7 linked regions of the Oryctolagus cuniculus genome follow. The protein of the gene in region 1 purifies or fractionates together with the protein of each later gene. This does not show direct contact. Links are inferred from orthologs where the notes say so. Each region holds a gene or a part of one and is shown on either strand. Other genes may lie near its edges. The genes, in order: FBL, LARP7, DCAF13, NOP58, NOLC1, TGS1 and SIRT7.

Evidence for each region.
Region 2: the proteins of FBL (region 1) and LARP7 purify together in Homo sapiens (affinity purification with mass spectrometry; 3 studies listed by BioGRID and IntAct, counting the BioPlex papers as one, with this or other methods). This does not show direct contact. The link is inferred for Oryctolagus cuniculus from reciprocal best matches to the Homo sapiens genes FBL and LARP7.
Region 3: the proteins of FBL (region 1) and DCAF13 purify together in Homo sapiens (affinity purification with western blotting; 3 studies listed by BioGRID, with this or other methods). This does not show direct contact. The link is inferred for Oryctolagus cuniculus from reciprocal best matches to the Homo sapiens genes FBL and DCAF13.
Region 4: the proteins of FBL (region 1) and NOP58 purify together in Homo sapiens (affinity purification with mass spectrometry; 7 studies listed by BioGRID and IntAct, counting the BioPlex papers as one, with this or other methods). This does not show direct contact. The link is inferred for Oryctolagus cuniculus from reciprocal best matches to the Homo sapiens genes FBL and NOP58.
Region 5: the proteins of FBL (region 1) and NOLC1 fractionate together in Homo sapiens (co-fractionation; 3 studies listed by BioGRID, with this or other methods). This does not show direct contact. The link is inferred for Oryctolagus cuniculus from reciprocal best matches to the Homo sapiens genes FBL and NOLC1.
Region 6: the proteins of FBL (region 1) and TGS1 purify together in Homo sapiens (affinity purification with mass spectrometry; 3 studies listed by BioGRID and IntAct, counting the BioPlex papers as one, with this or other methods). This does not show direct contact. The link is inferred for Oryctolagus cuniculus from reciprocal best matches to the Homo sapiens genes FBL and TGS1.
Region 7: the proteins of FBL (region 1) and SIRT7 purify together in Homo sapiens (affinity purification with mass spectrometry; 3 studies listed by BioGRID, with this or other methods). This does not show direct contact. The link is inferred for Oryctolagus cuniculus from reciprocal best matches to the Homo sapiens genes FBL and SIRT7.

What each region holds. Positions count from the first base shown.
Region 1 is NC_091449.1:14,143,438-14,147,885, reverse strand, and holds the start of FBL (rRNA 2'-O-methyltransferase fibrillarin), read right to left. Parts: upstream 2,916-4,448; 5' UTR 2,782-2,915; coding exon 2,772-2,781; intron 1-2,771.
Region 2 is NC_091439.1:52,312,782-52,317,105, forward strand, and holds the start of LARP7 (la-related protein 7), read right to left. Parts: upstream 2,968-4,324; 5' UTR 2,682-2,967; intron 2,524-2,681; exon of another isoform or gene 2,196-2,523; intron 1-2,195. UniProt on the Homo sapiens protein: RNA-binding protein that specifically binds distinct small nuclear RNA (snRNAs) and regulates their processing and function.
Region 3 is NC_091437.1:128,636,960-128,641,292, forward strand, and holds the start of DCAF13 (DDB1- and CUL4-associated factor 13), read left to right. Parts: upstream 1-1,403; 5' UTR 1,404-1,517; coding exon 1,518-1,587; intron 1,588-4,333. Other genes in the region: SLC25A32 (solute carrier family 25 member 32), read right to left, coding at 829-982. UniProt on the Homo sapiens protein: Part of the small subunit (SSU) processome, first precursor of the small eukaryotic ribosomal subunit.
Region 4 is NC_091434.1:37,686,913-37,690,595, reverse strand, and holds part of NOP58 (nucleolar protein 58), read left to right. Parts: intron 1-283; coding exon 284-410; intron 411-544; exon of another isoform or gene 545-628; intron 629-2,214; coding exon 2,215-2,378; intron 2,379-3,683. UniProt on the Homo sapiens protein: Required for the biogenesis of box C/D snoRNAs such as U3, U8 and U14 snoRNAs. Part of the small subunit (SSU) processome, first precursor of the small eukaryotic ribosomal subunit.
Region 5 is NC_091446.1:27,770,251-27,773,933, forward strand, and holds part of NOLC1 (nucleolar and coiled-body phosphoprotein 1), read right to left. Parts: intron 3,591-3,683; coding exon 3,455-3,590; intron 3,183-3,454; coding exon 3,054-3,182; intron 2,841-3,053; coding exon 2,730-2,840; intron 2,622-2,729; coding exon 1,974-2,621; intron 1,783-1,973; coding exon 1,682-1,782; intron 1,520-1,681; coding exon 1,427-1,519; intron 1,263-1,426; coding exon 1,104-1,262; 3' UTR 1-1,103. UniProt on the Homo sapiens protein: Nucleolar protein that acts as a regulator of RNA polymerase I by connecting RNA polymerase I with enzymes responsible for ribosomal processing and modification.
Region 6 is NC_091437.1:81,020,308-81,023,990, reverse strand, and holds part of TGS1 (trimethylguanosine synthase), read right to left. Parts: intron 1,591-3,683; coding exon 1,418-1,590; intron 1,134-1,417; coding exon 308-1,133; intron 1-307. UniProt on the Homo sapiens protein: Catalyzes the 2 serial methylation steps for the conversion of the 7-monomethylguanosine (m(7)G) caps of snRNAs and snoRNAs to a 2,2,7-trimethylguanosine (m(2,2,7)G) cap structure.
Region 7 is NC_091448.1:1,005,827-1,010,239, forward strand, and holds the start of SIRT7 (NAD-dependent protein deacetylase sirtuin-7), read left to right. Parts: upstream 1-1,431; 5' UTR 1,432-1,496; coding exon 1,497-1,589; intron 1,590-1,668; coding exon 1,669-1,806; intron 1,807-1,870; coding exon 1,871-1,975; intron 1,976-2,773; coding exon 2,774-2,844; intron 2,845-3,020; coding exon 3,021-3,093; intron 3,094-3,538; coding exon 3,539-3,637; intron 3,638-3,912; coding exon 3,913-4,149; intron 4,150-4,244; coding exon 4,245-4,325; intron 4,326-4,413. UniProt on the Homo sapiens protein: NAD-dependent protein-lysine deacylase that can act both as a deacetylase or deacylase (desuccinylase, depropionylase, deglutarylase and dedecanoylase), depending on the context. Specifically mediates deacetylation of histone H3 at 'Lys-18' (H3K18Ac).

The sequences.
Region 1 (4,448 bases):
GGAGATCCATCCAGGTCTCCCACCTGGGTACAGGGTGCACTTGGGCCGTCCTCGCTGCTTTCCCAGGTGCATTAGCGGGGAGCTGGATGGGAAGTGAAACAGCTGGAACTGGAACCGGCTCCCACAAGGGATGCTGGGGCTCACCCTGCTGTGCCACAACCCTGGCCTCAAGAACCTAGAACTTAATCCAGGTCTCCGTGGGGGTGGCAGGGCTCAAGTACTTGAGCCATCATCTGTTGCCCCCCAGGGTGGGCATTAGCAGAAAGCTGGATCAGAACAGAGCAGCAGGGACTCGAATCGGGCACTCTGATACGGACGCATCTTAACTGCTGTGCCATGAATGCCTGCCCCAGCATGGGCACTTTTACAGATGCTGATATGGGGCCCAGGCTGGGAGGCGCCGTACTGAGGGCCTGGCCTTGGGGTAATTAGTCCCCACTCCCTCCTGCTCAGGAGGAAAGCTACAACCGAGGCCTGACAGAGCAGAGACCCTGGGAAGGCCCGGCATGAGCACTGGGTACAGGGTCGTGAGCGTGAACTGTGCCTGAAAACTCAACTCGTCGCTAATCCATCGCCGGCCTTGCGGCTCGTGCACCAGAAGCCACCGACTCTGACTCCCAGGGAAGCTTCGGGCGCACAGCCCACAGACTCCCTGCTTCCAAAACTGCCCCCACCGCCGTCTTCCTCACCCACAGGGCCAGCTCCATCCTTCCAATTCCTCTCTCACATCCACACAGTCGACTGGTGCTATTTCCAAAACACATCCCCAGGTCATCCATTTGTCAGCAGGTCCACTGCTGCCATCTTGGTCCGAACTGCGTCACCAGGTTTCAGCGACACGCCTGCCACCGACGTGCCTGCAGCCACTCTGCTCCCCTAAGGCCCAGTTTACACAGAGGGCCCCTCTTCAAGATGTCAATCAGGGTGCAGTAGGTAAAGCCAACACCTGCCGTGTAGGCATCCCATATGGGCGCCGGCGCAAGTCCCAGCTGCTCCACTTCCAAACCAGCTCTCTGCTATGGCCTGGGAAGGCAGCAGAAGATGGCCCAAGTGCTTGGGCCCCTGCACCCACATGGGAGACCAGAGAAAAAGCTCCTGGTTCCGGATTGGCACAGCTCCAACTGCTGCAGTCAACTGGGGAGTGAACCAACAGATGGAAGACCTCTCCCCGCCCCTGCAATTCTGCCTTTCAAATAAATAAATAAATCTTAATAAAAGAAAGAAAGCTGTCTATCAGACCGCACGGCATCCTGCTCAGAATCTCCCAGAGGCTTCCCATCCTATCACAGCATGCGGCAAAGCTGGGAGGGAGAGGCTGCTCCCTCTGTCCCTGGGGGAATCTCAGGTGGCTCGAGGCCTGCAGGCATGCCAGGTTCCCAGGAGGAGAGATCTACAGCGTAGCATCCACCCCACTTCATCAGGAGACACCCAAGGGAACGAGGCTCAGGAGGAGGGCATGGATCCACAAGCTTCCCCCAACCCCCCCACGACCCCCATCTCCACACACACAGGGAAACTCAGACCCTTTCGGCCACAGTGGAAAACTTCCCAAACTCTGTGCAGCAAGTTCTCAAACAGAACGATTGTGGGGGTTGGGCAGAAGGACCCTCATTTTGTTTCCCTTGAGAAGCAACCTGAACCTGTTATCTATATGGCCAGTATTGGGCTAATTGTTTTTAAAACATCATCTCCCTTGGGGCCAGTGCCATGGCTCACTTGGTTAATCCTCTGCCTGCAGCGCTGGCACCCCATATGGGCGCCCGGTTCTAGTCCCGGTTGCTCCTCTTCCAGTCCTGCTGTGCCCCGGGAGTGCAGTGGAGGATGGCCCAAGTGCTTGGGCCCTGCACCCCATGGGAGACCAGGAGGAAGCTCCTGGCTCCTGGCTTCGGATCGGCGCAGTGCCGGTCCTGGTGGCTATTTGGGGGGAGAACCAACAGAAGGAAGATCTTTCTCTCTCTCTCTCACTGTCTATAACTGTCAAGTTAAAAAAAAAAAAATGATCTCCCGTAATAGTAACCAGGTGCCATATTATTGATGCAAAAACCGGTAAAATCACTTGTTCAAGGTCACATACACGGCGAACGAAGAAGCGGGGCCAGGATTCGAACACTGAACCGAGGCCCTGCTCCTGTCAAAACCAGGAGTCACATCCTCCCGCCATCGGGGCTGAGCAGCCCCACACCCCTGCCAAGGGCGGGCTTCTAGAAACCCACTCCATCGCCGGGGGCAGCCCCCCGGAAGCGCAGGGAGCGGCTTCAACAGGGCCAGGGGCTGCTAACGATGGTGGTGGCGGCAGCCAAGGGGCGGCAACGGGGGCCTCCCGACCCTGCTGCCAGCCCCAAGACCAGGCACTCTCGGTGTCCGACCCAAACCCACGCCCAGGGACCCAAGACCTCAGAGACCTGGATCCAGGCTCTAGGTCCGAGCCCCCCGAGGGCTGCCCAGACCCAAGAGCCAAAAATCTCTTCCTAAAGACGGCTTCCGCGAGACGAACCCTGGGCCAGGAACGCTAACCTCAAACCAAAGCTTCTGACTCACGGCCGCGACCCCCGAAGCCAGCCAGAATTCCCCAAACCCCCAGGGCTCAGGATCGACCCCAGGTTGGGAGCAGGACCGCCCCCCCCCCCCCGCCCTCCTCTCCACACGAGATCGGCTCCCGGGCTCGGAACGCCAGCCTGCAGGCCAGGACCCTGCCCCTCCGATTCCGGCCTGGTACCCACATTCCTTCCGGAGCCCAGTCCCCAGCCCGCGACCCCAACCCCAGCCTGCACCTGGCTTCATGGCGAGCTACCAGTTGCGCCGTCTGGGGAATCTGCGGCGTCCCTGAACGCACGAGTCTGGGGCTGCCGCACGTGGAAAGGAGCGCAGGCGCGCGGCGACGTACGGCGCATGACGCGTCACGCAGCCCCGCCCCCGGGCTCCCGGGCTCCCTGCCCCGCCCGGCGCTCTGCGCGCGCGCAGTGGGCGGGGATTTCCCGAGTCCCGGGCTCCGCCCCCTCCGCGCTCTGCGCTTCCCGGGCTTTGCGCGCCCAGGTGTCGCGGCCGCGCTCAACCTGTCTTCGCTTCCTCTTCTCCGGTGCAAGGATCCCAGCGATCGGGACTACTTCGCACAGGCTGTGCCCCCTGCCCCTCTTGTGTCTTCCTAGCTACATCCCTGAGGCCCCCTCTAAGAACCATAAAACCGTTCTTTACCCAATTCCACCCCTGAGACCAGGGCTGTACTCTGGGTTCTCATTTGTATTGGCACAAACAGCATGTAGGGTGCCTCTTGTATGCGCCAGGCGCTGGGAATTCAGCAGCGAACAAAACAGAGAAACTGCCGCCCTCCTGGAGCTCGTCTTTTGTTTATTTTATTCCAAGATTTATTTTATGGATTTGAAAAGCAGAGATACAGAAAGAGAGGGAGAGACAGAGATCTTCCTTCCGCTGGTCCACTCCCCAAATGGGCCAGACTGAAGCCAGGAGCTTCTGCCAGGTCTCCCACGTGGGTACAGGGGTCCAAGCACTTGGGCCCTCCTCCGCTGCTTTGCCAGGTGCATTAGCAGGGAGCAGGGTAGTGACTCGAACTGGCGCCCATATGGGATGCAGCGACGGCTTTACCTGCTACTGCTACAGGGCCGGCCCGGACCTCATCCTTTAATGGGGAAAACATCAAGTCAGCAACACACGGTGGTGGCTAGAAGTCCATATGGGACTTCTGAGAAATGAGCTCCAAGTGTGAGGCTCCCACTTTTCAGGGACAAAGGAAGGCTCGGGAGTGCTGGAGACACAGTGGTGAGTGTGGCCGGGGCAGAGTGAACCAGGGGAGGGTGGGAGGGGCCCCGGGCAGGGAAGCAGCAGGGCAGACTGTATGTGTAGGGCCTCTGTGCTTTTACCCCGAGGGAGACGGTGCCATGGCAGGGACCTAAGCAGAGAAGGGGCTCCATCAGACATGGGTCACTCAGGCCACGGTGGGGGTGACGGCGGGAACAGAAGAATGAGAAGCGACCAGGCAGGAGCCAAGGTTGGACCACAGCAGCGTGTGGGCAGGGAGGGGTGAGGAGGGCTCCTGCGTGAAGTATTGAGAACACTGTGCCGTGCACTTTTGTGATACTAATATGCGTCCCACGGAGCAAAGCAGCGTTGCTGCTGGGAGAAGTTGCTGAATGCACCCACGGGAACCTCCTGGTGTGCAGCCCAGGCTCCGGGTCTGCTCCATGCACTGCTCTCTCGCTGGGAGCCCAGAACAGGCCTGTGGATGCTAAGCCGCTGCTTTTCAAATGAATGAGTGAGTGAATGAATGAAACCACACAGTTTTTTTTTTTTTAAGATTTATTTATTTATTTGGAAGGCAGAATTACAGAGAGGCAGAGGCAGGGAGAGAGAGGTCTTCTATTACTGGTTCGCTCCCCAGATGTCTGCAATAGCTGGAGCTGTGCCAATCCAAAGCCAGGAGCCAGGAGCTTCTT
Region 2 (4,324 bases), on another chromosome or scaffold:
TAAATCTTTTTTTTTTTTTTTAAAAAGGTACAAGTGTAGTCTATGATTATCACTGTAGCAGGCTCCAGTGTCAACAATGAATCGTAAGGAGCAGACAACCTGTTTTCCAACTAGTTTCCTTGTCTGAGCCACCACTTAAGAAGCAGTGGACAGAGCTGCACATGCACATAAGTCACAATTCTCCCAGAAAACTTTCCCCTCCATTTTCACAGCTCAGCCCAAAGACTCCTTCTTTCTTATTAAAAGGATTATTTTTGTGTCTTACAGTATTTAAGCTCAGACTGATGAAATATATCTTCAATTAAAAGACAAAGACTAAACAGAAAGTGATATAAGAAATGGTTAAATTTACTTTTCCCAAACAATGACTGCAGAAAATCAGAGTTATATATTGTGATTCCACACATTCCAAGTCTCCAACTCTCCTCCCCAGGCCTGCTTTACCACCATGCTCTTACTTAAGGATACCTATTCTATCAAGCTAACAAATGATGCTATGTGCTAGCTGCACAGATTTTGAGCAAGTTACCTCATCTATGGCCTATAAAACATGGATAAAAATTATAACCACATAATATGGCTGTTGTGAGGATTAATCACAATAATGGAAATGAAGCACTTCAAATTGCTGCTTTACAGAACATACTCAATAACATGTAATCATTATCATGATTTAGCACTCTAAATCCTATCAATTTGACTTCTCATTTCCTTTGTTCCTTCCTTCCTCCTTCCATCTATCCATTCATTATTTTCCACTACTGTCACTAGTAACAAGATAACATTTGATAAAGTATCCTAGCAGCCATACACAGAAGCCTATGTGTAACTTGTCTGGAATGGATTCGTTTTTCTGAGATTGATGTCAAACCCCAACATCAGAAATTCTTTGGCACTTTTCAATGACATGCATTAAAAGAAAAAAAAGAAAACCAACCAATCTGGCTTCTAAATATAGGCTTTAAACAAAGAATAAGTTACTGTGTAACAATGCCAGTTACTCTACATTGTTCTAAAGCCTCAGAAACCCACTAGGTAGTTTATTTTCACAGAAACTCAAAGGTTAAGTGACTTGGCTAAAACCAGCTGGGTAAGTGAGCCCAAGTCTGTTTGACTCTTAATTCCTACTTTCAGTAGAGCCACTTGTAATTTGTTACTAGCATGCTATGTTCTGACCCAGGAATTCTTTCTTTTTAGATCTAGGTGATTACAATTTCCTTTACTTCTTTCTCTTTCAAAGGCCAGAGAGAGCGAGATCTCTTCCATCTGCTGGTCCACTCTCCAAATGCTTGCAACAGTTGGGGCTAGGCAAGGCTGAAGTCAGGAGCTAGGAATTCAATTGGGGCCTCCCATGTGGTGACAGAGACCCAATTATTTGAATTACCATCTGCTGCCTTCCAGGGTGCCAGGATGTGCTAATCGGGAAGCTAGATAGGAAGGGGAAGAGCTGGGACTCAAACCCAAGAGATCTGACAGGAGTTAAGATGCTGTTCAAGCAGCATCTGATCAGCTTGGACAAAGTCCTGCCCCTCACGCAAGGCTTCTTGTGAACTTGGCAGTTACATTGTGGGGCAGTGAGTTAAGTCACCAAGTGGGACTTAGACATTCCTAATCCTGGAGGCCTGGGACGGAGTCCCACCTCCAGCTTCCTGCTACCCATGGGGGAGACCGGGATGGAGTTCCCGGTTCCTGTGTTTGGCCTGGTCCAGTCCAGCCTTGGCATTTGGGGAGTGAACCAGAGGATGGAAAACATCTCTTTCTCTCACTCTCTGTCCCATTGCCTTTCAAGTAAATAAACATTTTTCCGAACTTCATTAAACTGCGAGGTAATAACTACATCTCCACTAGACAAACCTGATTTCCATTTATCATTTTCTACAAGTTACACAACTGTAAAAGAGCTCAATGACAATAAAAGGCATTGATATCTCGGAGGAGTTAAACAAGACCCCAAGTAATTATTTTTTTTGCCATTTCGAAGTCTTTCACACATTTCCTAGTAAAATTAAACAGAAAATATTTTGATAAGTATATGCACATTCTCTTGGGAAGCTGATGCGTAACTTTTATCACTTTTTCAAAAGAACTCCTGTGTCTAATAAACCCCTATTCGGTTTTCAAGGCTCAGGGTAGGTGGCATCTTAACTTCCACCGCTACCTCCTCCTCAATTGCTCGATTTGTTTTCCCCAAGTACCTCTAGGAATGCTTTTGGTATGCAGTACTTAGCACTCATTGCTAGGTCCTTCTCACAACTAGATTTTCAACTCTTCGAGGAGAAAACTAGAGTCGTGTAAAAGAAAATGACTTAGAACACAAGTTCTCACATTCGCTATCCTTTGGCAGACAAACTTCAACTCCAATTGGCAAAATAAAGCACTTTCCCTAGCACCTACTGATCTTCTCGGCACCCGTACTTCCTTACAGACGCCGGCAAGCGCTGGGCGTGCCCCAAACCTCGCAACGCCGGGCGCTATGCGCCCCCACTCTCCGCACACTGGAACTGCAAGAGCTAGCAGAGGACTTCTGCGCGTGCGCACAGAGAACTAGGCCTAGCGAACCCAAGGTAGCGTGGGAGGGGGCGGGACGAGATAGCCGACACATGATAGAATGAGCTGCTAGAAAAGAGACTGAGGATTAACACTACTCAATGAACGCGACTTCGGGGCCACTTGCAACTTACTCGATTCAATTCTAAAAATACAGCGTCAGCGACGGCGTCCTTCAGCCCCTTCCGTCTCCTGATGCTTAAAGTCGTGGTTATTGCGCGTCATAGGATAAGCGACACCACACTCTCATCCTCTTCAGAAAGACGGGCCCGGAGGCCGTACGTCCGCCGCCTACGTCACACGCGAGGGCTGGCTCCAGGAGGGCGGGACATCGGAGAGCGCGACCTGCCGAGGCGGCTGGAAGCCAATGAAGATTTTGATTGGCGGGTTAAAAATGGCGGTTCTAGGTGAGGCGGGGTGAGCGGCCTCAGTTTGGGTCTTCATCCGGTGTGGTCCCGGTTTGATGACGTCACTAAATTTTCGCGGGAGAAATTCGAAAAGTGGATTTTGTGCAGTGGGACGAGGTGAAGTGGCTTTCGGGGTATCTGGGAAATGAAGGGTGGACAGTGAAGGGGACTTGAGCGATTTAGGATTAGGGGCCGAAAGAGTCCGTTCCGCAGAAGCGGACCGGGAAGAATGCTGTTTGGGGCCGAGATGGGGGCGGTAGCAGGCGCAGCTTGCCCGGACCGCCCGTGGTAATTGGTGTCTCCTCTTCAAGTCTTTTGTTTTGCAATTCCGCCTGCCCGTGAGGACCAGAGGGGTATTGCTGTTTGTTTTCATGACCCTAAAGTCTATCTCTATTGTCCTTCAAAACAACGGCTCAGATTTATTAGGATCTTGGCAAATGACGTGTGGATTTCCTTTGGTTGTTTGTTCTGGTTGGTTTCCTAATAGGATGTTGAGCTCGTATTCTGAAACTTTTAAGTTTGAACCGTTAAGGAGTTTAGGTTTGAAACATACTGCTTGTTCAAAAACATGGGAACCAGAAACATCTTGTAATTTACAGGAAAAATGGCTCATTAAAAAAAAACGATTTATTGTATGTATGTGAAAGAGCTACAAAAAGATCTAGAGCCAGAGATAGTCTTTCATCCGCTTGGTTCACTCCCCAAATGGCCACAGTAGCCAGAGCTGAGCTGATCCTAAGCTGGGAGCCAGGAGCTTCCTCTGGGTCTCCCATAGAGTGCAGGGCCTCAAGGAGTTGGGCATTTTCTACTGCTTTCCCAGACCATAGCAGAGAGCTGGATCGGAAGTGGAGCAGCGGGAACTCTAGCCGTCACTCATATGGGATGCCAGTCCTGCAGACCAGGGCTTTAACTTTCTGTACCACAGCCCTGGAAAATGGCTCATTTTTAAAAACTGAGAACACCCAGTTTTGCATATGTAATATAACAGCACCATAATATATCTGTGTGTATGTGCATATATAATTATCACTGAACATTTGGAATCTCCACATCATTTTAAAAAGTTATTTGCTGATTTATCTTTCACGGATTAGGAAGTGGGTCACCACTTGAATTGTCTGACAAATGTAGACAGATTAGCACTAAGAAAAAAAATTAATATCTTTTTATTTAGAAGATAAGACAAACACACAAACCGATCTTCCACCCTCTGATGTTGGCCAGGACTGGACCAAACCAAAGCTGGAAGCCAGGAACTCCATCTTTGTCTCCTGCATGGGTTGCAAAAGACCCAATTACTTGAACTCCCTGCTAGGATGTACACCTGTAGGAAGCTGGATTGGAAGAGGAACCAGGATTCCAACCCAGGC
Region 3 (4,333 bases), on another chromosome or scaffold:
TACATTCTTCAGGTACATCTTAAGCCCATACAACAATCTATAAAAGTCAAGAGAAATCTCTACCAAGTGAACTGAATAGAGTTCTCTACTTCTGCAGATGTAATTCTACTTAACTTGTAGTGATAACTCAAAATGCCAGAAAAGCTTCCAAATAAAAGGCATCAAAGATTATCTTTGAGACTATCTTTTCCAGAATTTACTATCGAGTTTAACTTCTAAAATGCTTTATCAATTTCAAAATACTTAAGATGCTTTAAAAAAAAATCGGTAGCACGTAGACTAGCTACCGATTCGTCACTAGACCTGTATACACACCAAAACAAAACAAAATGAAACAAAAGAAATCTCAATAGAATTGTATTCCAAACCTATTCCCAACCACCCGCTGAGAACTGTGCCCGACCCCAAGCGCTAGCATTTTCCTTTCCGTAGCTCTGCCAAACACGTGGCTACACTACGGTTTCAAAGTACCTCCAGGGTGAACGATTTGTTCCTCTAGGGCTAAGTCCTAAAATGCCACAATCCCTTCTTTCATTTACAAATCAGGACTTGACTCCCAACTTCCACAACAGACTTTCTCAGACTCTTCTACCCACACGCCCCATCCCCTGGTCTTCCTGGGCGAGGGGGACGGAGGCCGGATTTCCTCACCGGACCCCCTCCTCAATCTAGCTCCAGGTGAGCCCGACAGTCGGGCATCTTCAACGACCCCCTGCTCGTAGTTCGGTTAGAGGCAGGGGAACCCAAAGCCTCCTTCTGAGCCTTCCCCCGCCCCCAGTTCGGGCTGACTGGGAGAAGGAGCGGTCCTGAGTCTGGGCCGGCTCTTACCGGCGAAGCGGATCTTCACGAGGTCGAGCGGGTGTAGCGCGAGGTTAGACAAGACCCCGCCGCTCACGCCCGCTACCAGGTTCTCGTACCGGACGTGGTGGAACACCGTGCTCCACGCCGACGACTGGGACGCCGACTGGCCCTGGCCCGTCATAGGCTCGGGGCCCGCCGACACCACGGCGCCCAGGGCCGCGGAGGTGGGACGAGATGCAGTGGCCGCCACCGTGGCGACAGTGGCCGCGCGGGGGTAGGAACCGCGGGCGCGAGCCCACTTCCGGGACCGGCGAGATAATTCTGACACCCCGATCGCGGGAGCGAAGCCGGGAGACCGTAGCGCAGAGGGGGCGGTGCAGGGGCGCAGCCGCGCTCACGCCGCGGAGAACCCGAGGGAGGCGGGCTGCCAGCCTCCTCCGCCTCCCCGGCCAGCCTCGCCCACTGCTGCCGCGGGCTTCGGCAGAAGGGCAAGGGCAGGAGCGCCCGGCTGTGGAAACGCCCCCTGCCAGCCTTTGCCGGCAAAACTACGGAGTGCCGCAGGATCCAGCCGAGCCGGCCGGCCGGCTTCCGCTCCCCGGAGGTACGTAACAGGAAGTAGTATCAGGAAGGCGGAAGTCGCATGTGCAGGAGGAGGCGGCGGTGGTACGCGCCGCGGCTCGCAAACTCGTGTGGGTCGCTGAGGAAGAGCCGCCGAGATGAAGGTGAAGATGCTGAGCCGGAACCCGGACAACTATGTCCGTGAAACCAAGTTGGACTTACAGAGAGGTGGGACGCCCTTCGCGAATCCTGGGGTCTGGCCTCGGTGTCCACAGAGTGGAAGTCAGGGGGAACCCAGCGTCCCAGTCTTGTTCTTTCCCAGTTTCCTTTGCCAAGGCAAGCTTTGGCAGCTAGGGCCATTACGGAACCGAGTAGCGGGTACTGTCGTTTCAAATTCTTTCCCAAGAATTTCTTCGGCTTTGGAGTGGGAAATACTGGTCATTTTCTGTATGGGGAATACTTCCGTCTCCCCCATGTCCTGCTGTTGCATTCTGTCCTCAGGTTCCTGTATTCGAAGTGGAATTTGGGCCAAACTCGTGGGTTAAAGGATTTAAGAATTAAACGGGCTTCTTTAAATCTTCCTGTTGCTCTCACTCCTGGCCACTTTACCACTTCACTTTACATCCTTATGGATGTGGAAGAGGGAACGACGAGATTCAAAGCTGTCAGTTTTCTCTTATCAACAGTTCTTACCGAAAGTTTGAGGGGAAGATGAATGAGATATATTAATGAGATATATTTATCCTTACTGCTCTGCTCTTCCAAAATCAATCTGACCACTTAGGAATGGTAGCTTATGATGCCTAAATGGCTAGGAGCTAAGCTTGTGTGAGCAGACCATTCCCAGTGAAGAGACTAGCAGGTGCAAAGGTCTTTAAGTCAAGAATGAACTCAATGCATAGCAAGAAGGGCCATGTCATTGGCGTGTAAATGAGGGGTTGGTGGTAGATGAAGCTGGAATGGCATTTCTTTTTATTTTTTTTAATAGGTTTATTTAGTTATTCGAAAGGCAGAGTTACAGAGAGGCAGAGAGAGAGGTCTTCCATCCGCTGGTTCACTCCCCAATTGGCTGCAATGGCCAGAGTTGTGCTGATCCGAAGCCAGGAGCCAGGAGCTTCTTCCAGGTCTCCCACACAGGTGCAAGGGCCCAAGCACTTGGGCCATCTTCTACTGCTTTTCCAAGCCATAGCAGAGAGCTGGATGGGAAGTGGAGCAGCCAGGACTCGAACTGGCGCCCAAAAGGGATACCGGCACTGCAGGTGGTGGCCTTACCTGTTGTGCCGCAGCACCGGCCCTTGGAATTAGCATTTCACTATTTTAATTGAGTAATAGAGATTATCAGTGTGTATGTGAGGATTGTAAGGGGTAAATATGATTTCTGCTCACAAGATGTTTACAGGGTAGGTTTACGTAATAGGAATGTTTCTCAAATGCAAATTTGTCACTTAAACTTGACATCATCCCTCCTCCTGGCACCTCTCTGGTCCCTTCTTCATGTCTACTTTCACCAGCCACTACTTTCTCCACAGGTAACTTAGATTCACTCTGGCCAGAGAGAGTGCATTTAGGCATTCTCTTTTACACTTCCTGTGGCATGTACCCTTACCCAACTTGTCTACTTCCTCAGGAAAACGCCTCTGAACGGCCCTCTTTTACCTCTATGCATATTCCCTCCGCCACTTAACAGCCCCTTCTTTGCTTCCATCATTTTTTTTTTTTTTTTTTTTTTTTACAGGCAGAGTGGACAGTGCAGTGAGAGAGAGAGACAGAGAGAAAGGTCTTCCTTTGCCGTTGGTTCACCCTCTAATGGCCACCGTGCTGCGGCTGGCGCACCGCGCTGATCCGATGGCAGGAGCCAGGTACTTATCCTGGTCTCCCATGGGGTGCAGGGCCCAAGCACTTGGGCCATCCTCCACTGCACTCCCTGGCCACAGCAGAGAGCTGGCCTGGAAGAAGGGCAACTGGGACAGAATCTGGCGCCCTGACCGGGAATAGAACCCCATGTGCCGGCGCCGCAAGGCGGAGGATTAGCCTAGTGAGCAGCGGCGCCGGCCCCCATCATATGTTTTTAACGCTTCTGTCAGAGTGTTTACCACGTTGTCTTATGATCTTTATTTTGATTAACACAGGCTTTCCCATCAGAATAAGCTTACAAGTGGGGAAGAATCCTTTTCATGTATGCACTATGTTTATTTAGTCAGCAGCTGGCACATATGGTTGCTTTATAAGTGTTTGAATGAATGGGTGACTGCTTATCATGAAATTTCAGTGTTTGGAAGTTGTTAGACTTCTAGTCTTTTTTTTTTTTTGACAGGCAGAGTTAGACAGTGAGAGAGAGAGACAGAGAGAAAGGTCTTCCTTCCATTGGTTCATCCCCCAAATGGTCGCTATGGCTGGCACGCTGCCTGGATTGAAAGCCAGGAGCCAGGTGCTTATCCTGATCTCCCATGCGGGTGCAGGGCCCAAGCACTTGGGCCATCCTCCACTGTACTCCTGGGCCATAGCAGAGAGCTGGCCTGGAAGGGGGGCAACTGGGACAGAATCCAGCGCCCCAACCAGGACTAGAACCCGGTGTGCCGGCGCCGCAGGCGGAGGATTAGCCTAGTGAGCCGCCATGCCAGCCAGGCTTCTAGTCTTGATTTCTGTAACATATCCCTGTTTTACTTTCTGGTGGAAATGTTGATAGCAAAATGGAAGAATAAAGTTTTGGGGTTCTGTAAAAGGAGACATTTTATTATCTATTCATTTGTTTTTGTTTTGTTTAAGTGTTATTTCCTTGTAGATGTTGTGTGATACCAGATACTGGAATAGAGACCAAGGAATCTATATTTTTAAAACTGCCTTGGTAATCCTGAGGTGGCTGGTTAACTGTTGTTGACACCTGACATAAATGTTGGGTTTACATAGGTTTGGATGAGAGTTAGAACATGTCCTTGGTGGAAGAAATGGCATGTACAGGGACTTTAAAGTGATA
Region 4 (3,683 bases), on another chromosome or scaffold:
AAAGATAGCTATGCAAGAATCACAGGATAACACAATGTCTAACCCTTGGAATTTTGAAACATAAGAATAATATTGGTGAAAAACATTTTCAAGCAGTGTCCTAAGTGATTTACATACATTAGCTAACAAAATCCACAAAACAACCATTTTATGGAATACTGACGTCAGGAGTAAATTTGAATGTCTGGTCTTTGATAAATCAGGACTCCAGTATTGACAGCATGTGAATTTGGCACTGTTTCTTCCTAAAAGGTATTTGTGACTTATTTATTCCGTATATTAGGTGATTGAAATCTCTGAATATAGAACCCAGCTCTATGAATATCTACAGAATCGCATGATGGCCATTGCACCTAATGTTACAGTCATGGTCGGGGAATTAGTTGGAGCACGGCTTATTGCTCATGCAGGTGACAGTTTTCATGTTATTTATAAACCTAAGTGTTTGTTTTCTCGCCAAGGTTTTATGTCTTTGAAGTAGTTATTAAACATTTTATGTGATAAAAGCAGATAAGTGGCATGTGGGTATGGGCTAAGGGGCCAAGTGTTCAATGATGACATTTATTTGTTTGCCTGATTTCCTTTTGGATAATGAAGGCATCTTTAGTCACTACCTCTTCTGAGACACTTGTGGTCCATTGTCAGAAGTTTGTTATAGTTAATTGGAATAATCAGATAAATGCAGTAGGATATAATGAGTTAAATTTTCTATCACTAGTGCTGTTGTTATACCCTATTCTATAAAATCTTAAGTATCATCTAGATGGAAGTGTTTAAAACTAGAGTAACTGCTTTAGCTGTATCATTTTATCAGACAAATATCCCATTGATCTATCCTAGGATATAAGGTTAGAATCATTTGCTTTGGGGTTCTGGCATTGTGGCATAGATGCTGTCATCCCCTATTGGCACTGGTTCCTGTCCTGACTGCTCCACTTCCCATCCCGGTCTCTGCTAATGGCCTGGAAACTGGGAAGCAGCAAAAGATGGTTCAAGTACTTGGGTCACTACCACCCATGTGGGAGACCTGGAAGTAGCTCCTGGCTTGAGCTTGGCACAGCCCAGGCTGTTGCAGCCTTTTGGGGAGTGTACCAGTGGATGGAAGATCTCTCTCTCTAACTCTGCCTTTCAAATAATTAAGTAACTCTTTTAAACAGAAAAATAATTTGATTTGGTTTCTTTATCTTTAGCCACATTTCATAGCTGTAGCTAAGTTTTAGCAGTGTGAGATGCAGAGTTTTAACAGAAGTGTGTTTGCACTTTAATCTTGTCTAGTGCTTGAATTTGTAGCCTTAATGTTGAATGTGTTTTCCTTTTAAAAAAAAAAGATTTATTTATTTATTTAATTGAAAGGCAGAATTACAGAGAGAGCGAGCTTCTATCCACTGGTTCACTCCTGAAATGGCCACATTGACCGTAGCTGGGCTAGGCCTAAGCCAGGAACGAGCTTCTGGCAGGTCTCCCATATGGGTACATGGGGCCCAAGCACTTGGGCCATCTTCTTCTGCTTTCCCAGGAGCATTAGCAGGGAGCTGGATCAGAAGTGGAGCAGCTGGGACTCAAACTGGTGCTCATACGGGCTCCTGGTGTCCCAGACCGCGGATTCCCGCTGCCCCGCAGCGCCAGACCTGGAATGTGTTTTCTGACAGAATATATTCCATGCAACAAACCCAACAAAGCCATCTCTTGCTGATGAGTATAGTTGTAGACACAGTTCTTCTGAATCTATATCTGAAATAAGCATAAGTAAAGTATGGGTGATTGATCAGGTACTGCTGAAGTATCTAATATATCTGGTTATTTGTATTCATATTCATATCTGAAATAATATTTATTTATTTAAAGTCCCAAATCTCAGAAAATCAGGATTAGATTGGTTTATGTGTGGATAAATATGTGTGTGTGTGTTTCTATATTTATATCACCCTTGTGTTGTGTTCATGGAATGTAGAATAGTAGTAATACCACCCTTTAGGAAAATAAATAATATCATTATCACAGGCATGTATCACAAAAAGCCTTAGCTTATGTTAATGAGAGTCACAAATGAGAGAACTTTCAGTGAATTCTGTATTACAGAATCCTGAATTGTTTGTATTTTATTATTAGTATGATAGCTGTGTAAATAGAGCGGAAAGCTAATGCTTAGCATGTGGAACTTCTGAATGCTTGCAAGTACACTCTTTCTACCTACATACTTTTTTTCTTTTGTAGGTTCTCTTTTGAATTTAGCCAAGCATGCAGCTTCAACAGTTCAGATTCTTGGAGCAGAAAAGGCACTCTTCAGAGCCCTCAAGTCAAGACGGGACACCCCGAAGTACGGTCTCATTTATCATGCTTCTCTTGTGGGTCAGACAAGTCCTAAACACAAAGGGAAGGTGAGCTACAATTTTTCTGAAGTTGGACTTCTTTTTCCCAGACAATAAGCTTTTTCCCTGTCTTTACTGCATGTAAACTTTTTGTTGTCTTTTAGTAAATAGGGAATGATGTGTTCTTTAATAAACACTTTTTTGTGGGTGTGCATTGACATAAAAGATTAGCAGAAATTGTTGTTGGTCCTATTCAAATCATTTTAGGATCCTCTTTGTGAGTGCCCAACCAAATGTATTCTGTGTGGCAAGAAAACTGATCTGACTGCATTTATGAACTATGAAAAATATTTATACATACATTGGGTGAGACACTTTGCTAGACATTCACTGAATCTTTTAATAACCCACATGTTGTTATAACCCACATGTGTGTCTGCACTTTACAGATGATGAAACTGAGGCTTGGACATGTCCTTTAATCTTCTGTAAGATGAGCAATTCTGTTCAATCAAGCTAAAGTTTTATAAAATAAAGAGTTCAGTAAAATAAAATTAACCATGAGCTGGCAATGCCAGCATTCTCTATCAGAGTGCTATTTCCATCCTGGCTGCTTCACTTTTGATCCAGCTCCCTGCTAATGGGTCTGAGAAACCAGTGGTTGATGGTTCCAGGTGCTTGGGTCTATCTGTGTATCTGTGTCTTTCCTTTCAAATAAAGTGAGAATTAATAAATAAATTAATAAATTAATTAAAAAATAGTTCTTCAGAGAACTATTTGAAGACTGTTGTGGGGGAAAGGATAATCTTTTTTTTTTTTTTTTTTTTGACAGGCAGAGTGGACAGTGAAAGAGAGAGAGACAGAGAGAAAGGTCTTCCTTTTGCCATTGGATCACCCTCCAATGGCCGCCGCGGCCGGCGCACCGCGCTGATCCGATGCCAGGAGCCAGGTGCTTCTCCTGGTCTCCCATGGGGTGCAGGGCCCAAGCACCTGGGCCATCCTCCACTGCACTCCCTGGCCACAGCAGTGGGCTGGCCTGGAAGAGGGGCAACCGGGACAGAATCCGGCGCCGCTAGGCAGAGGATTAGCCTAGTGAGCCGCGGCGCCGGCCCAATTTTTTTTCTTTTTTAAGATTTACTTCTTTATTTGAAAGAGCTACACCGAGGAGGAGAGGTAGAAAGAGAGCTGGATCAGAAGTGGAGCAGCCGGGTCTCTACCCAGCGCACATGAGATGTCAGCACCGCAGGCAGCAGCCCTACCCACTATACCACAGCACCGACTCCTGGACTTGTTTTTGAATGGCCTTAAGGAGTATCACTGGTGTCTGGAGTAGAAACTAAAGGAAAACACTGGAATAATAGTTTGAGCTGCTTT
Region 5 (3,683 bases), on another chromosome or scaffold:
CTGTTCGGATGCTCTCCGCAAGCGCAGTCCCGAAGTTTCAACAGGCTTTGTAAAGGTTCCTTCCACCTCCATTAGCACATACACAGGTTACCTATAAATTCACCTAAAGTAACCTACTTCCTACAGTGGATTGGGGTTTTTGATTATAGTTCTTTTTTTCATTTACTTGATTAGTGATTTCCAGTCATGTAGGAATTAATGAAACCAATATTGTGTGTCACATAGCTACCCAACAGAAATATAAATATCAATAAACGATATGTACGTTTAAGATTATTTTGTTCTCAATAATGTAAAAAAGAAAAGATGGCAGTTCTCAACTTTGTTCTCAGAACTGGTAGGGGTCAAGTCACCGAAAATTCAAAGTAGAAAGATTTGCTTTCAAATTTAAAACCAAAACATGTACTGTGTTGCCAACATTATATAATATAAAACCACACTCATAAAATAAAACTCAGATTAACTTATGTCATTCATACCAGAATAGAATTTTGCCTATTAACAAAAACAGTAAATTGTATCCTAAGATGTAGGTAGGTCCATGCTGGCTGAGAATTTCAGGCCCCGACCCAACAAATGAGGATGAACTACATAGTGCATGCTTAACAGGCATGTACACATGTTAATCATTCTTCAGTGCCTACAATGGGGCTTTGAGGGAAGGACGGATGAAATGTGAGCATACTCATAGGCAGAACTCTTCCCCAACTATAAAAATTCACACGTGACAATCTACTGTATCTTGGGTAATAGCTAAGATTTTATCTGTAGGAACCCACCTCTGAAAATCACAACAATAGTCATTAGGAAATGATTTAATATAAAATATACAAATTTCTCAGTGTGAGGACTTTCACAAAACAGGAAGAATGGGGGTGACAACTAAAACAGACTTTTAAAAAATAATGTTCCCCTTACCTCTTCCCTGCTACCCAACACTCAAAAAAATCTGTACAAAACTAGAACACAGAAAAAGACCACAGAAGATGTTATGTTGCAGTCCGAACTTCTGTCCTCACCAAGACCCTCCCCTAATTGAGCTGAGGGTCCCCAGGTCCACTGAAAGTGGGAGGTCTCTGATCATCACCCCTGCATCACCAAGGTCACTCGCTGTCAAACTTAACAGAGTTCACCTGGACCGAGATGGAGCCTCCTCGGTAGCTACCGCGCTTCTTCTTCGTCTTCTCGTGCCGGAAGGATTTGCCTTTGGTGAACTTTAGAACTTGATTGGCTCGTTCCCCCCAGTCCCCAGCTGCACCACGCTGGTGAAGCAGAGAAATACTTAACACACAGAAGGACAGCACCAGTGCCCCACCGTGCTCTTCTTTCTACTCTTTCATGGAAACTTAGTGTCTCCCACCAACCTGAATTGAAAGTTGCCCGTTCTTCTACTCCTCAACCCCCAAGAACAGCAAACATCCCTCACCTTGGCATCGAAGGAGTTGTCTGCCACTCGGGAATCCACTTCAATTTCTTCCTCCCGGACTCTTCGGAATGGGGATGATGCCCTTTTTTCTCCCTAATGAAGAATCAAGTTGGAAATTAAAGATGGGGTGGCCATCTAAAGCCCTCTGGAATAACACACCACGTGGTGCCAGGCCAGGCCAAGCTTTCAAGATGATCTCAATTTCTTTCTACTTTTAAAGGGCTGACTTTCTGAGAAGAAAATGAGATAACTCACCTTCTTCCTTTTAGGAAATGTGTTGGGGGTCTGCACCTTAATCTTCTTGGCTTGAGGAGTCCCTGCCTCACTGGCAGCCTCATTCTGCTTCCGCTTCTTTCCTGAACATACAAACAGAAAACCCCACAATCAGGAGACCAGTTTCCAGTTCCTTCTTCCATCCCACAGAGGATCTGCAAATAGAAGCCGCAGTGGGGTGGAGGGGGCCTCCTCTCCCTACAGTATCCTCCCAGTTATCCTCATCCTGGTTTTGAAGGACAAAACCCAGAGGGCAGGGTCTTCAGACACAGACCTGGCTTAGAAACTGCCACTGCCACTGCTGCCTTTTCTTCCTCTTCCTCTTCACTGTCCTTGCCTGCTTTCCCATTCTGGGCAGCAGTCAGGGCAGAGGTACCATTGGCCTTGGGAACTTGTGGTTTCGGAGTGCCCTTGCCCTTGTGCTTCTCTTCTTCCTCCTCACTGGAATCATCCGAGGAAGAACTGCTGCTGCTCTCGGCCTTCACTTGCTTTACGGAAGCAGGCTTGGAAGGTGCTACGCCCCCTGCTGCCTTCTGTGGCTTCTTCTTAACTGGGGCTTTGGATGTCTTCTCCTCCTCCTCCTCTTCACTGCTGGAGCTGTCGGAATCAGAACTGCCCTCCCCATCAGCCTGAGGAGGCTGTTTGGCAGGCACAGGTGGAACTGCTTTGGCAGTCACCTTGGACTTAGGGGTGGCTGCAGTCTTCTTTGCCTTTTCCTCCTCCTCACTAGAGCTGCTCTCCTCCTCACTGGAGCTGCTATCAGCCTTTCTGGTCAGAGGCTTCTGGCCACCACCTGCAGGCTGCTTGAGAGCGGCAGCTGGCTTAGCTGCAGGCTGCTTGGGAGTGGCAACTGGCTTACTCGAGGAATTCTTGGTGGCACCAGCTGGCTTGGCAGGAGCTTCATCCTCAGAGCTGTCGGAGTCTAGACAAACACGAAGGACAGAAGAATCAGCTCCCGAATCAATTGGAGGAACCCTGTAGCAGCTGCCCACAGATCACCCCGCTGCCCTGAGTGCCTCCCTAGCCATACCTGAGCTGTCTGAGGAGCTCTCCGCTGCCTTCTTTGCTGGTGCTGGCTTAGGGGTTGTTTTAGAGACAACTGCCTTAACTGGAGCTTTCTTCTCCTCCTCGGAACTTGAATCTAGGGAGAACCTGGGGCATTATGTTGGGTCCAGAATACCACTCCAACCAGGAGAGCAACAAAAAGAACACAGACACACAGAAAGCCTTAGCCCTGCCTCAGTTTAGCAAAAAACAGTAGAGGGACAGTGGATCTTCCCCCTCCCTATCCCTCATGGTCCTCCCTGCCACATGTGTGCGTGCACACACACTCCTAGCAGCACTCCTGACTCACCAGACTCATCACTGCTGTCTTCACTACTCTCCTCAGGCTGTTTCTTCTCTACAGCTTTCTTGGGAGGCTGGGTTCCTGGGGACTTCTTCGGTGCAGGAGCAGATGGTGGGGGTACTGAGCTGTAAGGACCTGTTTGAAAGGGACGACATGGTGATTTAAAAACATGTACCCAACTCATTTGACACACTGCCCTCTTCTGGATGCAGGGCCTGACTCATCTCAAGTACAAAGTACAAGGTGCAGGTCATGTCTTGCCACTTCCCAGTCTTTCTTGCTAGGACCCTCAGCTCGGGGATCATGTTACAAAGACACTCAACTCAAGCAGCTCCATGGAGAAGTCCGTGCAGTTATTGTAACTGGGTCCAGGACAATCGGGAGTTTCACTCCCCATGTTCACTAACCTGGTTTTTTCTTCACGGGTTTTTTCTGCTCCTCTTCCTCCTCACTGGAGGAATCCTCACTGCTGGAACTCTTCTGGGTAGGGGGAGCAGCTGCTTTGACTGGAGCCTTGGCCACAATTTGCTTTTTAGGTACAGCCTGTGTCCGAGAGAGAAAATCCATGACTTCAAAAAAATACTGATGAACCCTGCCAGGGAATGGAAAGACACACAGACCCTACATTCCCTGATA
Region 6 (3,683 bases), on another chromosome or scaffold:
TTGCTGTGGAAGTTCTAAGCTCCTTCTAACTTAAGATTCCTCCAGAGTTTGTTAAGGTTTCCTGCACTGGCTACCAAGGAGTAACAAGAAAGAATGATACTTTTGAGACCCAAATACTCTTATTAATACAAAAGGGTAATATACAACTATGATCTAAAAATAAGATGGAAAATAATTTAAGTATTATACTATGAAAAGAGTTGCTATCATTCAACTCCACCATACAGGATTAGCAGTAGTTGTTTTGCTAAATAGGTTTATTTTGCTAACTCTCACTTAGTAGAACATTTTTTTTGTCTAATCTTACCCTGGGCTGGTTGGTCTGTGTTTGTATTCCCAGATAAGTTGTTCTCCTTGGTTTCTCCATTACTTGGTTCCCTTTGGCCAGAAGTAGGGCACTCTCTCCTGCTGCTGTCCTCACTTAGCTCCTGATGACCATCACAACTTACTGAGGAGTCTAACTGGCTCTGGCCTATTTCCTCTGAATTCAGAGTTATATTACTAATTCCAGCAAGTATTTCATTATGATCCTTATCATTGGAACTAGAGCTTTCATTATGAGCTGTATTAGGTGATGATGGAAAAGATATTAAGCCAACTTTCATGCAATTTTCATCTTTTTGGTTATCAACTTCTGTTTTCATTGCACAAGTGTCTATATTGCTGTTTTGTGAGGTATCAAAAGTCCAACCCTGAGCTTCCCAATACTGAAACTGTTCCAAATAATACCAATAAATTTGACTATAATGTTGTTCCCATTCTTCTTTCGTTTCAGGAAAGTTCCAAGGCTCAGAAGGCAGTGTTTGATCTGGATGTTTTTCTTGCCAACATTGCCATAATAGTTCTCCTCCATATTCATTCCAATACTGCTCCCATTTCTCTGTAATTTCTAGCTTTGCAGATAAAGTATTTTCAACAGGAAGACTTTTGGTTTCAACATCCTTTTTGCCTTGAAATTTACATGTTCTGGTATTTTCACAGTGTTCAACTGAAGATGGATCATCTGAGGCCAAAATGTCATCTTCTTCATATTCCTTTCTCAAAGATTCTCGTATCATTTCATCTAAGTACTTCTTTTCATGTTTTCTCTTTTTCTTTTTTATTTTAACTTTATTTCTAGTATTCATAGATATCTACAACAGATAAACAATAACTTGAATATAAAATGTACTTCATTAAGTATAAAAGTAGAATCCAACATTATTTTGACATTGAATTAAATAAGATACTCTAAAACCCTATGTTGGGCTTTTAGGTACACAAGCAAGTGATTCTTACATTTAAGTTCCCAAGAGGAGGAAGAATCACACATGGAACTGTTACAATTTGCAATTTTGGTGAATCTACAAATATGTACTTGTGAAATTTTATGAGGAAAACCAAGAAACAGAAATAATAAAAGTATATTAATATTTACCTCAAAATTCTTATGTGCAGAAACGCCACCAAACTGAAGCGGCAATCCCATACTTCTCATGAGTTCGGCCTCAGAATCAAGTTCGCTTTCATCCAGTCCCATGCGTTTGGTGTCATGTAATTCAGCAGTGCAGAGGGAATGACCCTCTTCCTCGTCTTCTGTAGCCTGGTCTCCTAAAGGTAGCATTGTGAACTTAGTTTTAGAGAAAATTTTGAGGTGAGTTTTCTTATCCTTATTTTAAAGAATTTGATAACCAGAATGATTACACCATTTGTAGTGTTATAATTCTTAAGTGGAAAAAAAAAAAAGAACTGATGGTCATATAGATTAATCACATGAACAGCCAAAGAAGAATTCAGACAACTTCTCTTCCAGCTCTGCCTGCCACTGTCCATTAATCTGCTCAACTGTGGCTCCCTTACTGAGTATCTGTTCTGTGCCATGCACCACACAAATACTGAGGATAGAAATGAGAGGGGATAGGACAGTGTAACTTTGGGAAAAACACTTCTGTGTTCCCATTCCTTACCTGAAAAATTGCTACATGAGCTCGTGGATTTAAAATCCTGATCTGGGGCCAGTGCTGTGGCATAGTGGGCTAACCTTCCACCTGTGGTGCCAGTATCCCGTATAGGTGCCAGATTGAGTCCTGGCTGCTTCACTTCCGATCCAGCTCTCTCCTATGGCCTGGGAAAGCAGTGGAAGATGGCCCATGTGCCTGGGCCCCTGCACCTAAGTGGGAGACCCAGAAGAAGCTCTTGGCTACTGGCTTTGGATTGGCCCAGTTCCAGCCACTGCGGACATTTGGAGAGAGCCAATCAGTGGATGGAAGCCCTTTCTGTTTCTCCCTCTCTGCCTGTAACTCTACTTCTCAAATAAATAAGATCCATAAAAAAAAAAAATTCTGATCTGTGGAGTGATTGTAGGAGCTTTAGCATGAGGTAAGAGAGGTTTGTCTTCAGGCCCCTCAGAGCCACTTTGATACAATGAGGACTGAGGTCCTAGGATTCGATGGAAGAGCTGATTTAACCAAAGTGTTCTGCTCTTAAACATTTGAAATTCACCAAACGGGGCTAGTGTTGTGGCCTAAGCAGTGTCCGCATCCCATGTGGGCGCTGGTTCAAGTCCTGGCTGTTCTAATTCCTATCCAGCTCCCTGCTAACACGCTTGGAAAGATGGTCAACTCTTTGGGCTCCTGGTTTCAACCTGGTCCCGTCCTGGCCATTGTGCCCATTTGGAGAGTGAAGCAGTGGATGGAAGATTCTCTCTCTCTGTAACTGACTTAAAAAAAAAAAACAAGGAAAGAAAGAAATCCACCAAACTGGAAGGTTCTTTCAAGCTTCCTGATTTCAGATCTTGGAAAAAACCATTTATCACAACCAAATTCCACTTTGCCTGAATATGGTTATCTAGTAGTAGTAATAGCATTAATTAGACCAATGCCACTTAAGTGCTCTATTAATATAATAATTTTTTTGTCACAATATAATGAGTTAGTGTTGAGCTGCTACATGGGACATCTGAGTTATATCAAGTCCACACAGGAGTTACAGGAAAGTAACAGATCTGCTCTGAGAGAATTTAGGATCACATTATATAAAGGGTAAAGACTATGATTTCACAACTATTTGTCGTTTATCATGTTTTACATCAGCAAGTTAACAAATAACAAAAAAGCTTGATGATCTCCGACAATAACACAGTCAATCTTAAATGGCAATATAGAGACAAATAAAAAAGAAATCTCCCATGTGTAAATTCTACAAATAGGCTCCTAGGAGAGGGAAACAGATTAAGAAGGGGATTTTACTCACTATTCCATTCAATGAACTTACAAAAGCTCAGAGAAGAGCAGAATGGGGGAAGGGAATGGCTCAGTTTTATGTTCCTCTCCTGGCATGCCTGTTTTCTTACAGTCAGTGGCAGCCTAGTGTTTATGGAAACCTTATTTCTGCAGCACTAAATAACACAAAGCAAACATTTCACCCAGTGCTTCACTGAACACACAGTGATGTGTTCCAGCACCGTAGAGCTAAGAGATTTTCAAAGGTAACAAGAATGCATGGTTTTTGGGGGCTCACTTTGGCTTCTGACTCCACATTGTAGTTTTCTATGAGTCTCAAAACATAAAGGTCCAGGTGGAAGGGCAAAGTCAGGCAGGGAAGTTGGACAGACCAAAATCTACTTGCTATTTGGGAAAGTTAACTGATAGCAGCCTCTTTACTTCAGGAAAAAGCCAATGGATGTTCACTTGGAATTCATCCTT
Region 7 (4,413 bases), on another chromosome or scaffold:
GATCCGGCCCCCAGGGCTTCTGGGGTTGGCGAGGCCATGCGCTGGGGTTCCCGTCCCCTCACTCGAGCCCCTCTCCCCTCACCCTGATTTCTCCGCAGTAGATTCTGTGTCCACGCGTGGCTCTGTGTGTCCTTCGGGTCGTGCTGGGTCTGTCTCCCACCGTGAGGGTGTTGTGTTCTCTCTTCTCACCCCCCCCCCCCCGACACGGCGGATGGAGGGCTGCGGCTGAGGCCGGGCCTCCCGAACCTGTCCGCCAAGTGAACCCAAACCTGCGCCTCCCCTCCTGCCTGACGCCGCCCCGGCCCCTCCTGATCCCGGACGGACACGCAGACGTCCCCACGCAGCGTGGCCCGGGCTCCCTGCTGGCTTCAGTGGGTCTGTGCGCGCACCCCTGGCCTCCGTGGTCGGCGTCGGGGGCCACCGCTCTGGGCTGGTGGTCAGGCCCTGTGCCTGCCGCCGCCTCTCTCGAGCGGCGGCTTGGCCAGAGCTCCCGTCCACAGCGGGGCAGCCCGGGCAGCCCGCTGCACACTTCCGCTCTGGGATCCTGTGAGTTATTTTTTAGGCTGTGGTTTGGTGAAAGGAACCAACACATTAACGATTTTCCCCCCCCAGAAGCCACTGAGTGACTCCTCCTGGCACGGGTTCGGCTTCCTGCTGGCTGTCTGGTCTTGGGGCAGGTGGGAGAGCAGAGGCTGTGTCGTCGGTGCCACGCAGGCAGGCGTGTGTGTGTGGGGCTCGGGGCCCCTCCTGCCTCTGGGCTGTGCGCGTGGCACCTGCTGGGCCGGCTGCAGGCTTCCCGCTGCACGCCCGCCGCGAAGCTCTGGCTCTGAGAGCCGGGGTGGCCCTGCGCGTCTGAGCTGGAATGGCAGAGCGCGGCCCCTCCCCTCAGCCCCAGCCCCTGCCCGCCCCTCCTCCCTCCCGTTCAGTTCGCGAGTCCCTGAAGCCTTTAACCAAACGCAGTCGCTGCGGACAGCCTTCTCCCGGTGACCCGACCCCGGGCAGCAGGACAAGGGCTGCCTGCGCGTGCGGGCTGTGCGGGGGCTGTGCGGTTGGTGGTGGCCCCCTGCTTAGGGCCGAAGCCTGCAGAGGTGACCGTGGGGTGCCCTGGGGTCCGCAGGGCGGGTGGGGGGCTGATGCAGAGCTAGGGAAGGGAGGTGCCCAGGCGACCCGCAGTGGGTGTGGGGCGTGCGTGGGAGGGACCTGTCCCCGGGGCCCCGCGCCGTATTTATTGCTAAGTTATTGTCCAGGAGGGGCGGCCCTGGGCCTGGCCGCCGGTATTTATTGCTGTACATAGTGTATGTTTGTGATATATAAGGTTTTCTTTATTTTGTATATGATCAATAAACACCTTTTAAAAAGAGATTGGCAGGTGCTTCCTTGGGGGCGGGGCGGCGGGCGGGGCAGGAAGGGCGGGGCGGGGCGCGCGCGCATGCGCCCCGGGCGGCCGCCGGCGAGGCGGAAGCGGAAGCCGGAAGCGCCGGTCTCCGCGGGGAGCGATGGCAGCCGGGGGTCTGGGCCGCTCGGAGCGCAAGGCGGCGGAGCGGGTGCGGAGGCTGCGGGAGGAGCAGCAGCGGGAGCGCCTCCGCCAGGTAGCCCGCCCGCCCGCGCCGCGCCCCGCGTCCGTGTCCGTGGCGCGCGGGCCGCCTCTCACCGCCCGCCCGCCCGCAGGTGTCCCGCATCCTGCGGAAGGCGGCGGCCGAGCGCAGCGCCGAGGAGAGCCGGCTGCTGGCCGAGAGCGAGGACCTGGTGACCGAGCTGCAGGGCCGGCGCCGGCGGCGGGAGGGGCTGAAGCGGCGGCAGCAGGAGGCAAGTGCGGGGCCGCGCGGCGGGGCCGGGCGGCAGGCGCGGGCTGAGCGGTCGGTGTCCGCAGGTGTGTGATGACCCGGACGAGCTGCGGAGGAAGGTGCGGGAGCTGGCCGCCGCCGTGCGCAACTCCAAGCACTTGGTCGTCTACACGGGCGCGGGGATCAGCACGGTAGGGAGGCGCGCGCGGCCCAGAGCCACACTCGCCCGGGCCGCGCTGGCCCGGAGCGCCGCGGGGCGGGCGTGGGGCGCCCCCTCCTGGGACACTGACCGCGCTGGACGGCGCGACTCGGCCTCCGCGCTGCCGGGTGTGCGGGCAGAGCTGAGCCGCGCCGCGCCGGTTCCGCAGCGGGAGGCGAAGGGCGTGGGGCCGCCGACGGCGGGGCTGGGGCAGGGGGAGCTTTGCTGGACGGGGGCGGCCCGCAGGGGGAGGGGGAGGCACTGCGGGTACCAACGGGCCAGGGCCCAGGGTACTGAGCGCTTCCTGCTGAGCCTCCCGTCTCCACCGCGAGTGGGACAGCCCAGCCCGGCGGTTCTCGAGCCGCGGCCCCGTGGCCTGGCTGGCGCTGTGACCTCAGTGTCGGGCCCCTGGCGCCGGCGGGCACTTCTCGGAGCTCGGGCTGCCTGGGGAGGTGGGGCTCGTGCAGGGGGGGCCTGGCAGTCTTCTGTGTCCTTTGCTGGAAGGGGCGACGTGGGGGGGTGCACAGGTCGTCCGTCATTGTTCAGGTGGGGAAGGGGCCGTTCAGAGCCCTGTGCAGTCCTCCCTCCGTGCCCGAGACACACGGGTCCTTGCGCCGTGCTGTGGCGGCTCTCGGGGCGCGGGGGCCTGGGAGGATAGTGAGGAGGGAAGCCGCACCGGGGTGCAGCTGCCCGGGCCCCGGCCGGTGGGCAGCCTGGCGCCCCCCTGCAGGGTTTCTGCCTCCCGGCAGTGCCGCCGGCCCACTGGGCTTATCTTTTTCCGAGCGCACAGGCAGCCTGCATCCCAGACTACCGGGGCCCCAACGGCGTGTGGACGCTGCTCCAGAAGGGACGGCGCGTCAGGTAGGGGCTCGGCTCGCCGGCCTGCAGGTCCTCACCCCACTTTCCCAGGCGAGCCCCGGCCTGCAGGTCCTCACCCCACTTTCCCAGGCGAGCCCCGGCCTGCAGGTCCTCACCCCACTTTCCCAGGCGAGCCCCCGGCCTGCAGGTCCTCACCCCACTCTCCCTTCCGCCGGCAGCGCTGCCGACCTGAGTGAGGCCGAGCCCACCCTTACTCACATGAGCATCGCCCGACTGCACAAGCAGAAGCTGGTAAGAGCCGGACGGGGCTGGCAGGCCCGGGCGCAGGGGAGCGGCTGCACCCTCTCTGTGGGAGGAGTACACGGCGGCCCCCCAGACAGAACAGCAGCCCCTCCTGGGAGCCGTCCCGTCCAGGGCATCTTGGCCCAGGGTTGCTCACCGCCCCCCCCCCCTCGCTTCACCCCAGGGCCCCCGAGGGCCTCCCGGGCACGGGGAGCCAGCGAGGAGGGGAGGGTCGCCCTCTGCCCAGGCCCTGGAGCCGAGCGTGGATCTGGCGTGGCCACGTCTGCCCCGTGGGAGCCCGAGCTGCAGCCTCACCGGAAGGGCGCAGACGCACGCTCGCCCTCCGGGTGCTCCAGGCCCGGCACTCTGCGGGCTGGGCCTGCCGAGAGCTTGGCTCTCCGAGGTTTCCTGTGGGGTCGGGGCTGTCGCTGGGCTCAGAGGGGCTCCCCTGCAGGTGCAGCACGTGGTGTCGCAGAACTGCGACGGGCTCCACCTGCGGAGCGGGCTGCCGCGCTCGGCCATCTCGGAGCTGCACGGGAACATGTACATCGAGGTGAGCGGGCGCGCGCGCGGGCGGGCGGGCAGACGGGCGGGCGCGCGGGCGGGCGGGCGGGCGCGCGGGCGGGCAGGCAGACGGGCAGACGGGCGGGCGGGCAGGCGGACGGGCGGGCGGGCAGACGGGCGGGCGGGCAGGCGGGCAGGCAGACAGGCAGGCGCGTGGGCGGGCAGACGGGCGGGCGGGCGGGCAGGCAGGCAGACGGGCGGGCCGACGGGCAGACGGGCGGGCGGGCCGGCGCCCCCGCTCACCGGAGCCTGTCGTCCCCCCAGGTCTGCACCTCCTGCGTCCCCAACAGGGAGTACGTGCGCGTGTTTGACGTGACGGAGCGCACCGCCCTCCACCGACACCAGACCGGCCGGGCCTGCCACAAGTGCGGCACCCAGCTCCGCGACACCATCGTGCACTTCGGGGAGCGGGGGACCCTGGGGCAGCCCCTGAACTGGGAGGCAGCCACTGAGGCCGCCAGCAAAGCGGACGCCATCCTGTGTTTGGGGTCCAGCCTGAAGGTAGGCGCCGAGGACCCGGGAGCCCGGGCTGGGGCCACGCCCCTGCTGCGGCCGCGGGCGCGCGCACGTGCCCTGTCTGTCGTCCGTGTGTGCAGGTTCTGAAGAAGTACCCGCGGCTCTGGTGCATGGCCAAGCCCCCTAGCCGGCGGCCCAAGCTCTACATCGTGAACTTGCAGGTAACCGGTGCTCAGGGCGGGGCCTGCTCCAGGGCCTGCGTGGCACACCGGCCCCTGGGCCTGGCCCGGCTTCCTGCCCGGGCACCCC